Neurospora crassa OR74A: one gene and its partners. The protein of the gene in region 1 purifies or fractionates together with the protein of each later gene. This does not show direct contact. Links are inferred from orthologs where the notes say so. Each region holds a gene or a part of one and is shown on either strand. Other genes may lie near its edges. The genes, in order: hH2Az, NCU05587 and NCU06491.

The links.
Region 2: the proteins of hH2Az (region 1) and NCU05587 purify together in Saccharomyces cerevisiae (affinity purification with mass spectrometry, with the first as the bait; 4 studies listed by BioGRID). This does not show direct contact. The link is inferred for Neurospora crassa OR74A from reciprocal best matches to the Saccharomyces cerevisiae genes HTZ1 and ARP6.
Region 3: the proteins of hH2Az (region 1) and NCU06491 purify together in Saccharomyces cerevisiae (affinity purification with mass spectrometry, with the first as the bait; 3 studies listed by BioGRID). This does not show direct contact. The link is inferred for Neurospora crassa OR74A from reciprocal best matches to the Saccharomyces cerevisiae genes HTZ1 and SWC5.

Annotation. Positions count from the first base shown.
Region 1 is NC_026502.1:1,389,886-1,393,574, forward strand, and holds the start of hH2Az (histone H2A.Z), read right to left. Parts: upstream 2,939-3,689; 5' UTR 1,820-2,938; coding exon 1,709-1,819; intron 1,218-1,708; coding exon 1,086-1,217; intron 977-1,085; coding exon 788-976; 3' UTR 1-787. UniProt on the Saccharomyces cerevisiae protein: Variant histone H2A which can replace H2A in some nucleosomes. Nucleosomes wrap and compact DNA into chromatin, limiting DNA accessibility to the cellular machineries which require DNA as a template.
Region 2 is NC_026506.1:1,416,911-1,420,659, forward strand, and holds the start of NCU05587 (actin-like protein arp-6), read left to right. Parts: upstream 1-1,013; 5' UTR 1,014-1,112; coding exon 1,113-1,560; intron 1,561-1,614; coding exon 1,615-2,507; 3' UTR 2,508-2,930; exon of another isoform or gene 2,931-2,982; 3' UTR 2,983-3,122; coding exon of another isoform or gene 3,123-3,749. Other genes in the region: NCU05588 (topoisomerase TRF4), read right to left, coding at 1-419; NCU05586 (malate/L-lactate dehydrogenase), read right to left, coding at 3,123-3,749. UniProt on the Saccharomyces cerevisiae protein: Component of the SWR1 complex which mediates the ATP-dependent exchange of histone H2A for the H2A variant HZT1 leading to transcriptional regulation of selected genes by chromatin remodeling. Involved in chromosome stability.
Region 3 is NC_026503.1:1,608,510-1,612,016, reverse strand, and holds NCU06491 (SWR1-complex protein 5), read right to left. Parts: upstream 2,450-3,507; 5' UTR 2,030-2,449; coding exon 1,698-2,029; intron 1,640-1,697; coding exon 943-1,639; 3' UTR 582-942; downstream 1-581. Other genes in the region: NCU06490 (hypothetical protein), read left to right, coding at 2,787-2,881, 2,941-3,507. UniProt on the Saccharomyces cerevisiae protein: Component of the SWR1 complex which mediates the ATP-dependent exchange of histone H2A for the H2A variant HZT1 leading to transcriptional regulation of selected genes by chromatin remodeling. Involved in chromosome stability.

The DNA of each region.
Region 1 (3,689 bases):
CGAAACAGCAGATGGTGAGACTGAACACATTGTAGTCACCATGAATAGAATTGCGCATCCCAGACTGTAGAGAGAACATAATAAGAATTGGTATCGCAAATTTTCAAGGCTCTTCCTTGTAGCCTTTATTCCGCCACTACCTGCAACCAGTACCAACCGACACGTTCATTTAACGTGTCCTGATGTTTTCCTCGCTAAGCCCTCATGGCCGAGTCGTACTATAAAAAAAACGATAAAGAAGATTCATGTTGTTACAGATATCGTAAAAGAGCTGCTGTCGCACGCCGCGCCGTGACGAGGGGAGATTGCTCGCCGTTCCCAGTGTGTGGTGCACTCCAAGATGACATTATACAGTGAATGGTCTCCCTGCTCATCGCCACCCAAGCGGCTTCCACGTCTGGATGATACAGAACGCTTCGCTTTTCGTGTGTGTTCCGAACGCACCACTCTGCTGGAAGTGTCGCAAGGGAAGTTCGCCGTCGTCTATGCGCTGCGCTTGTTGCCGTCGCAGACACCGGGAGTGCTCGGCTTTTTCAAGCCATGGTTCGGTGGGCCCCAAGCCCGTGTGCGTATCCCAACAACAAATAATAGGAAGAAAATACCCAACAATACAGCGGCGTTAGTGTTGGATTAGCGAAGACAATCCCCAACCCCCCCGGCATCACCCCGTGACATCCCTTGAACAAGCCGATTGCTGTCCTGCCCGTCAGCCCGGAGCGGGGCTAGAGAGATGCAAGACAGTGTGCGAAACGTGTGCGACGTCGAGTTTTTCGGTGCAGTTGTGGACTTAAGCCTCCTGAGCCTTGGCCTTCTTCTTCTGCTCTACCTTGAGCAGAAGGGCGCGGTTAATGTGGGGGAGGACACCACCGAAGGCGATAGTGGCGCGGATGAGGGTATCAAGCTCCTCATCTCCACGGATGGCAAGCTGAAGATGGCGGGGAGTAATACGCTTGACCTTCAGGTCCTTGGCAGCGTTCTATACAACGGAAATCATTGAGTTAGCCATAAAGCAGGTAAAACTTGGAAATGGGAGCCTCCTCGTCGCCAAGCAATATGGCCGAGCGGATGGGGTATGAATGACTTACACCCGCAAGTTCGAGGACTTCAGCAGTCAAATATTCCAGCACGGCAGTAACATAGACGGCAGCCTTGGCGCCAACGCGCATCTTGTTTTGGGTGTTCTGCTTCAGGAAACGCTTGACACGACCGCAAGGGAACTAATTAGATTCAAGTCAGCATGGCGCATCAGACACACGGCAAACTCCAGAGGACGGAAATGCACGCCGCAGCTCCGCCTCGTTGTCAGAGCGAGAAATCCAAAGTTAGGGACCGGAACAAGGTCCGGGTGCGGGGCCAGGGCGAGAGAAGGATGCACAGAACAACGCGTCCATATGAAGCCGAAATAGTATCGCGTACGGGGCGCAATGGGGGTTTTTTTCTTTTACCCAGCGGCGGGGTTGTGTGCGACCGACGTGTGAGGCAGCGAGTTCGCGTTCTTCGTAGGTTGGCACTATGGGGTTGTCCGGAAATGTAGGGGGCTCGGTGGACGCGTTGTGGTGTATCGGCGTGATTCCATCGACATCTGACGACAGGGATGGCGGATGCGAGCAAAAAAAAAGTTGGTTGATGAGACGACGTCGATGGTGCAGATCGGAGCAGGAATTGAAAGCGGACAGAGCCATGAAGCTCGTCAACTATAAAAACGTACCTGAAGACCAGCGCGAGCAGAATGGCTCTGCTGCTTCTTGGGACCTTCGACGCCCGAGGTCTTTCCACCCGAGCTCTTGCCGCCAGACGACTTGCCCTTTCCGCCAGCCATTGTGTTTGTTTGTTTGTTTGAAGGGATTGAACGGGGTGGGATGGTTGTGCGCGGGATGGGCGGATGGACGTAGTGTCGAGAATAAAACCGGTGGTCGTGACGATGCTGGATGTTGATATTGACGGGGCAACGGCGCGGGATTTGCGTGGAACTGGTGGAAGTGGATGAAGCGGGGTTGGCGGATGGAAAAGTGGTGTTTTGGCCGGAAGGATGATCGCGACGAGGTTTGGTGTTGAAGTTGGCGCCAGGAGACGCTCGAAAATTCAGAAGGGCCGAAGATGCATGCCACTGATGGGCCCTTTGATGTTGTGTCCTTCCAGGTGATTGCCCGCCGTGTTTGAGCGCAACCGCGCCTGAGACATGCGTCCGTACAGGAGGGAAGGTGCCGACGTCCAAGCTAAGCGAAGGGATGGAAGCTCGAGCTCAGTCAGCTAACAGCCAGCTCCCGTGGGTGCTTTGCTTGCCGTGTGTGCTGATTTGTCGCTGTTGCTGATTTTTTTTTTTTTTTTTTTTTTTTTTTTTTTTCCTCCTCCGCAGAGGGAGGGTAGGTAGGTTAGTGTAGGTAGGTAGGTAGGTACCTTGGGGTAACCTTGGGTACGGCGAGCCAAGCAGACCACTTGACCAATTCGAAGGGAGCTCCGAGGCTTGGCAATATCATGAAGCTCCAGGCAAAGGCCCAGCCAGCAAGGCCTCGAGCCAGCCATGACGACCCAGTGAGGTCCATCTCGAGACAGATAGCCAGACCTCAACTCAGCCTCGCAAGGGCCGTGGCTGACACGGTCTTGCAGAGAACCTTGCCGACATCTCCGCAATGAACGGCCCAAGAAAAGGCCTCCCAGGACAAGTCCATGTGATGCAAGGGGAGTCGCATACCTCACTGTTGCCCGACGTTGAGAGCACCTTTCTGGTTTGAAGCCATGCAGAGATCCGCGACGGGCACTGTCCGGGCCGGCCACCCAGCTGGTTAAGGCGGGCCAAAAGCCGTCAGAGTCTTTGGCAATGAAGGCCTGAGCATCTTCACAGCAGATTTGCACGCTTTTCCGAGGCTGGCGTGGTGTTGCAGAGTGTCTTGAAATGTTGCTCAGATAGTGTGATTCGGAGCCTTGGGTGAGCCTTTGCCAATCTGCCGCTGGTTGTTGTGGTCCGTGACCTTACTCCAAAAACTCGTCGCAGCCGTGCCAAGCTTTCACGTTACGACATTTCAACTGGCGCAGTGTCTGCCAGCTGTCTGCGCTTGAGCAGACCGAGCTGTCTGTTTTCAGTGGTGACTGAGGTTCAATTCACAACGAACTATGTAAGCTCCCAACATGAACGCTTCAAACAACGTAAATCGTGCAAAGATGCACACAGTAATTGTGTGCCTTCTTCACCACTCTTCAATTCCCTCTCGCAATCCTCGCCAACCTCTCAGCCTCACATCTCCGTCTTTCCACTCTCTGCAATACCTCCAGCCTATGACGGTCGTTGCTGATCGGGTCCTGATGCCCCGAAACCCGATCCGATACTTGGGTGGTAGTGTCGTGGATGTATCTGTTCATCATGGAGCCGTACTCTCTTCTTCTGGTGACACAAGATGCATTAGATAACTACTTTTGCCATTCCGCCTGTAATATGGAAGCCTTTGGATTATGTTTGTAGCTCAACAGCCAACTACCAAAGGGATGCCGACGTACGACGGGATTCTAGGATTGGGAAAAAGATAAAAAGAAACCATGGCAAGACCCACTTCGGAGCTTGGGCCGGTGCGGGTAGATCCCCGGCTCCCGATGTGGGGCCGACCGCCGCGCCATTTGAGCCATTGCCGCTACCGGTGTTGCCAGCACCGCCGCTGTAATATGTGCTCATGATGAAATGTACTATCCGACTGTCG
Region 2 (3,749 bases), on another chromosome or scaffold:
TTCCTAAAACCTCCGTGGGGGCCAGCGTTGCGGCCTCGTCCACGGCCACTGGGTCTTCCGTGGCGACGATCGCCTCTGGGAGAGTGGGCTCTGCGGCCATTGTAGGACTGCCTGTTGTCGTTGGGACGGTAGTTGTCGTAGCTCGAATTGCTGACTCCCGGCGGCTTCTCTACTCTAAACGAGAAATCACCCTGAGGAGGCCGGTAATTGTCGCGATCTCTTCCACCGCCACCGCCACCGTTGTTGCGGTTGGAGTAGTTGTCGGAGGGACGGTACGATGTCGGCTGGGGAGGTCGGGCAGGGAGACCATGAGGGCCATTCGGCGCGCGTTGTTGATAGCCATTGCGGTCGTCCCGAGGGTCGTTACCACGACGTCGACCGCCGCCGCCGCCACCGCCGTTCTGGTATCGTTGTGACATGCTAAAACTAGCAGTTATGGGTTTATGCGATACTGACCACGATAAAGCGCATCGAGTGAGTGCTCGGTATCGGAGCACAAGAGGATGAGGTTGATTCCACAAGGGGGGCAAAATACGCTGAGAGGTGGAAATGTTCACCTTGTCATTTAATTTTTTTTTAAAAGTCAGAGGTAAAAGTTGAGTGGGGCAACATTGATGGGATTTGTAGTGGTCGGGTTGCAGAGTTCAGTTGCCGTGACGGGAGCGGGAGTGTGCTCTCAACAGTGGAAGTGAAGTGATGGATGACGGAAGGCAGGGCTGCCCGGTCCCAGTCGAGATTTCCACAAGGCCCTAGGCTGCGCTGTGTGTGTGTGTCTCCGGTGTGTTGTGCCCGCTGCCGCAGTGGCAGGCGCCGGCAGGTTCCGTTCTCACTCTCCGGCGCTGTCAGGTCAGCGAGTCTTTAGTGTACACTTGCGGCGGCGGAAATGATGAAATGCCAAGCAAGAGAACCCCAGCCCGTCGAGGTCCGGGTGGCACTGACAACCCTTATCGTTCCCCTTATCAGCAGGTCCCGTCGTCGATGCAAGTGGAAACCCAAACAATTGACGGTTCTTGCGACAACAACCGCGACGCGACTCTCCCACGCACTTCAAGCTACGAGGGCCGGGGCGCGAGAGGGATTCAATTGTCAGCAGCTGTTGTTTCAGTACTGTCATGACCGGACGAGGAGGGGCTAAAAAGTCCCGGGCGGCAGGGCCGGCACCCCCCACGACAACCCTGGTTCTCGACAACGGCGCCGACACCATCAAGGCTGGATTCGTCTCCGATGACAAGAGCGACGGCAAGCCTCGCATCATTCCGAATTGCCTCGCTCGAGACCGTCACAGGAAGATCTATGTCGGCTCGGAACTCGAAAAATGCAAGGACTTCAGCGAATTGGCCTTCAGGCGCCCCGTCGAAAAGGGCTTTATCGTCAACTGGGAGGCCCAGAAAGAGATCTGGGATCGCGAGTTCTTCGACGATAAAGCTGCGCAGAAATGCGACCCATCAGACACCAGGCTCATTCTCACAGAGCAACCAAATTCATTGCCTTCTCTCCAAACACACTGTGACCAGATCGTCTTTGAGGAGTATGGCTTTGCGAGTTACTACCGTGGCCTGGGTATGTCGCCTCCTAGAGAGCTGTTAGGGAAAGGGTGCTGACCTTGTTTTCTAGGTCCTGTCTTCAACGCGTACCGGGACATACAATCCATCTTCCGAACACCCCAATCCACCATAGACAGTCCAGCCCAAGTCATCCTGCTCATCGACTCGGGTTACTCTCACACCACCGTTACGCCTATCCTCCAAGGCCGACCGCTACATCCGGCCATACGAAGACTTGATGTGGGTGGCAAGCTCATGACCAATTATCTCACCAGGTTACTGTCCGTCCGCCACTTCGACATGCGCAACGAACCATACATTGTGAACGAGATGAAAGAAGCAGTCTGTTACACCTCCCTGGACTTCAAGGGAGACCTGGAAAAGACTTGGAAAGGGACGCGCGGCGAAAAGAGGGAGGACTACTTGAGCGGTGCTGGCATCGCCAAAGACTACGTTCTGCCCGACTCCCACACGCGCTTCCACGGTGTTGTCCGCGACTACGAGCCTGGTGTCTCGGCGCGCGCCCGCAAGGGCATTGTATCCACAGAGGACGTCCTGACGCTACGGAACGAGCGTTTTGTTGTTCCAGAGCTCCTCTTCAACCCTTCTGATATCGGCATCCGGCAACCTGGCATCGCCGACCTAGTCAAGCAGTCCCTCTTGGCTGTGCCAATTGGACTGTGGCCTGGCCTTCTGGCTAATATCGTAGTTGTGGGAGGAAACAGTCTCTCTGAAGGGTTCTGTCAGCGCTTGCAAACAGAGATTCTCAAGCGATTCCCCGATGAATGCAGGGTCAGAGTTGCCCGCCCGGAAGACCCTATCATCAGCACCTGGTTGGGAGCTGCCAATTTCGCCAAGCATGAACATGCCAGTAAGCTCGAGGTCACCAAGCAAGAGTATGAGGAACATGGAGCTGCTTGGGTGGCAAGAAAATTTGCTGCTGGGCTCGGACTCGACCCCTGAGCATTTGCTTGGAGTCTATTATTGCCATTTTTGAAGCTTTCCAGGGTTCATTAGCCCATAAAGCGATTGCCAAGCGGCTCCCTATGCTGCTTGATTGAGTGCCCGGCTGGATACTACCCAGACAAAAATGAGCAGGGTGGGCTAGTACGCTTTGCTTCTTGCCTGTCTCTGGACGTTGAGTGCCATACACTCTGTCTGAAAAGCGCCGTTCAATCCGAAACCCTGCCGTGCCATGCCAGAACACCAAGACTCTGTCTCGATGGGCTGGGTGTATAGACTGGGTGTTGATCTTGATTGAGATGCACTGGGGCAAAACCGCGCAACTGATCTCAGCTACCTACAGCTCTACACGGAAAAGCAGGTATCAGAGTTTCTGAGGGCGAGCTACTTGCCACCCTTGTGATACCCATGATGCTGCCTTTGGTAAAGTTTTCAAAATGGTTTGAAAAAAGGATCAACGCTAACCCTCGGAAAGAGACCAAATCACACCATCGTCCTCATCAGTGGTTTGTTGTGATCGCCTGCAGCTTCTTTATTTTAAACAAACTTGGCTCAGACGAAGAATTTGGCCCATTTCACCTCCAAAGGTGCAAATAACCCAATATATATGAAGCTCTACTCTATCAATCGGATCTTGCCCAAGCCTAGCTTTTCAGCCTCTGCATTCAGAGCATCAATCTCTGCCTTGGCATATGGTATGCCATCTTTCAATCTCTGCTCCTCGTTCAGCTGCTCAATCTCGCCCGGGAAGTAAATTCTGTCGACGCCATGCATCTTCTCCGAGTTCACCGCTTTCTGGTATAGGATATCCATGCGTTCCCTGAACTCGTCCAGGCTCATGAACAAGTCAGGCTTGATGGCCACGAAGAAGTGGCCAACGTCCCCCGGCTTGGACATATCATACGGCCCCGTGACGCCTCCAGCAAACGCAGAACCCGAAAGCACGCCGGAGAAGACATCCATCATGATCGCCAGCGCCGACCCCTTTGGCCCACCCATAGGCAGCATCACGCCTTCCAGCGCCTTGGCCGGATCATCAGTTTGCTTGCCCTCCCCATCCAAAGCCCAGTCAGTCGGTATCTTCTCTCCCCTCCTCAGCGCCTTATAGATCTTGCCCCTCGCTGCGACCGACGGGGCCATGTCCAAGATGAACGGCTTCGACCCCTCGCCCTTCCCACCCGGCGCTCCACAGGCGATGGGGCTTACACCCATCATCTTCTCCTTGGAACCCCACACGGGCAG
Region 3 (3,507 bases), on another chromosome or scaffold:
ACCACCTTTTACCATCCTTCAGTTACCTTTTTTTCCCCTTCTTATTAGCATCAGCTTCGACTACTGGTCGGTAAGAAGGGGGGTAAGGTAGAACCTCTCAAGCAAGTCTACCTTCAAGGTTATTTTCAGATCTCAAAAGGGCTTTTAAGGCGTGTGTACATAGGTAGAGGTACCCAACAACCTTGGATGGTTGAACTACCTGTTGAAGACAGGAAGTCAGACGTAGATAATCTTCCGTTGTTGAGTTTCTAGACATTCTCAACTTGGAGGAGAGGTCGTTGATCTAGTACTGAATCAGCGGAAACCAACCCCCCAAATAATCGAATAAGCTCCCAAGATACATTGGGAAATCATTGTGAACAAAGGACCAAAAAGCGTTGTCGTCGGCATCCACTGCCAGTGGCTAGGTACCCCAGACTGGTGTTATGGAGCCATTCAACAATAAAATCGTCCAAAAAAAAAAAAAGAAATTGGAAAAAAAAATCACTTCGACGTGGGCCTGATTCGAACAGACGCTCCCGAAGGAACAAGATTTCTAGTCTTGCGCGTTAGACCACTCCGCCACCACGCCAGTTGATGATTGGTTGATGATAACTGCATTGAGAAGTTGGGATCATGAGTCAGACAGCGTGGTGCATGGGTACAACTTGCCAAATGATTTCTGGATGAGAAATGCATGTTCCTTTGCAATGTGACCAGGAATTGCAAGGAATTGATATGTGACTGTGACCCTGAGTTCATGCAAGTCGTGTTTTGCTTGGTGTCTTCAACGCGTTGGAAAGTTCCGATATTGAAAACTGGGGTATCTCTATTTGGCGAACGTAAGAAATGAAATGGTGTTGCATAGTGCTGTCCTTCCAAACTTGTAGTGGTAAGGGAGACGCCATCCATACAACAATAATAGGCAAGCGACCAATGGATTGACTGGAGATCGTGACACGCTCACGTCTTCCCCGCCTGCGCCATCCTCGCCCTCCTCGCCTCCTCCTCCCTGCGCATCTCGCTCCTGGCCAAGAAATCCTGCCTCGCCGCAAACGAGTCCTTGGACTTGCCGGCCAGCTCGAGCTCGTCTTTGAGGCCCATCTTGTCGACCGCCACCGCCCAGTCCATCTTGCTCTTCTCGACCGTGTTGAGCTTCTTGGCCTTGTTGCCCGTGGCTTCGCGAGCCTGCAGGCGGGAGGCCATGCTCAGGTTGAGGTCGGAACGATGCGCCGAGTTGGCGTCGGTGATGGGCTCGAAGACGGACCGGAAAGCTTTTCGGGGCATGCGCTTGGCAGAGGAGGACTCGTCCTCGGCGGCTGTTTCGCCGTCCGCTGGAGCGTTCTCTCCGAGAGAGGCGAGATAGAGTTTTGCTTCGGCAGAATCGCGGGCAACGAGCTTTTCTTCAGTGTGGACTTTGCCGGCGAAGTTGTAGGTTCTCTTGATCTTTATGAGGTCGGAATCGGGATCTTTCGCCTTGGCTGTTTCTGGCTGCTGGGATGACGATTTCGCGATGTCACAGTTCGCTGGATCGGCGCTTTCGTCTGGTTTCGCTGTACTTGTTCGTGGTATGACCGGCTCGCTGATCATTTGCGCCCAAAGGGCATCGACGTCGATTGTAACAGGTCCGCTGGCGGCGGCTGTTGAACGTTTCTCCTTTCTGCCATTGTCGTTAATGCCCAGGACCCAAAGAGAAGAGGGTTGATGTGAGAACATACTCAACAGCGCGTTGGCTGCGCGTCTTGATGAGACCGCCCTCGCCAGTTTCCTCATCGTCGGCAGCAAGTTTTGTCTTTGTTTTCTTTTGACGTTTCTCCCCCTTCTTTATTATAGCTTCATCTCCAGAATTGTCATAACCAGCGTCTTCCGCCTCCTCGATGGCAGCGCGTTTCCTCTTCTCGGGTTTCGCTTTCTCGGCATCTTCACCGGCTTCTTCGTCGTCATCGTCGGATATTGATGATTCTCCCGCGGCTTCGGCAGTTTCTGGGGCGAAGTCGGAGTCTTCCTCTGACGCGTAGTCTTCTGCAAGAAGCTCTAGTGTTGGCGCCATCTTGGTATCTCGCGAATATAACAGTCTGGTCTTCCTCAAGCTATTCGCGTAAAATTCTCGTTGCCGTGTGTGTCGTCGTTCCAAGAATGGTACCTCTTCCAAGTATCGTGGGCCGGAATATTAAAGTGGAAAAGTGATGAAGGGAACAAGGACGGGATCCATGTCTTTGTCCGATCGACTGCAGCGTGACAGTGGAAACACAAACGCTCTGTTAGCAGCCAATAGGGCAGCTTGCCGTCATGTCGCCGCTGTTCGGCTCAAGCTCCCCCGCATCACGCCCACACCTTCCTTGATGTCCCGCTGAAAACGCCCCGCAACCGGGAACCTTTTTAGAGTTCCGTTACTATCATCCGATGACAAGCTGGATCTGCCCCTGACGACGGGATGTTGTCAACCACACCACTGGGACATGATGTTCAGGTTCAGAAAGGCCGCTATCACGAAAATGGAAAACTGGTGATGCCGTACTCTCCAATAAACCTGGCGATATCCAATAGGGTATTTCTGGTTAAACCAAAAACCACCCCGCCGGTTACACGTAGCCTAGGGCGCCTACGGAGCAAGGATGGATTACCTAGCTGCCTCGTGGCGCAGTGTGAGGCGGCATTCCATTCGGAGTCCGGAGTTGTCGTGACAGTCGGATTGATTAGCCTGGGTTAGTTTCTGGCGGGATCTTGAAAAGAGTATATAAGGGTAGAGATAGCTTGTCGGCCCCGTTCCAGTCTATAGCCTTGTTCTTTACGCTACTTTCTACAGGATGTGTCCCAAAGGCAACATCACACTGAACATGTCGTCGTCATCTGCTCTGAGTCTTGAAGAGAAGGAACACTTCCTCACTCATGGCTGGGTCAAGTAGGTGTCATGCCACCATACCAGCTGTTCAACCTCGTTCGAGGTACTGACCATGCCAGGATCCCGGCTGCCTTCACGCAGCAGAGAGCACAGGAAATCATCGCCAATGTTTGGACGAGACTAGGAATGGATCCAAACGACAAGTCCACCTGGAACAAAGAACGTGTCAACATGCCCTCACATATGGAGTTCGACGCTGCAGACTTTGCCCCTCGTGCCTGGGCAGCCATCAGCGAGCTTTGCGGCGGCGAGGATAAGATCGCGAACTGGTCGAAGAAGTGGAAGGACTCCCTTATCGTCAACCTGGGCACACCACAGAAAGAAGGGAAACCAGTCCCCCCGCAAAAGCTGGACAATTGGCACGTCGATGGTGACTTCTTCGTCCACTACCTTGACAGCCCGGAGCAGGGCCTGCTCGTCATTCCTCTCTTCACCGATATCATGCCCGAGGGCGGCGGGACCATGATCTGTCCGGAGGCAATCCCTATCCTCGCCAAACACCTGTACGAGCATCCCGAGGGTGTCTCGCCACGTATGGCACCCCGCAGCGATGCCGAGTTCAAGCAAGAGCAGCATCTCAACTGGTTCAACAACACGGCCAAGGGTTGCACCCAGTTTGTCGAGGC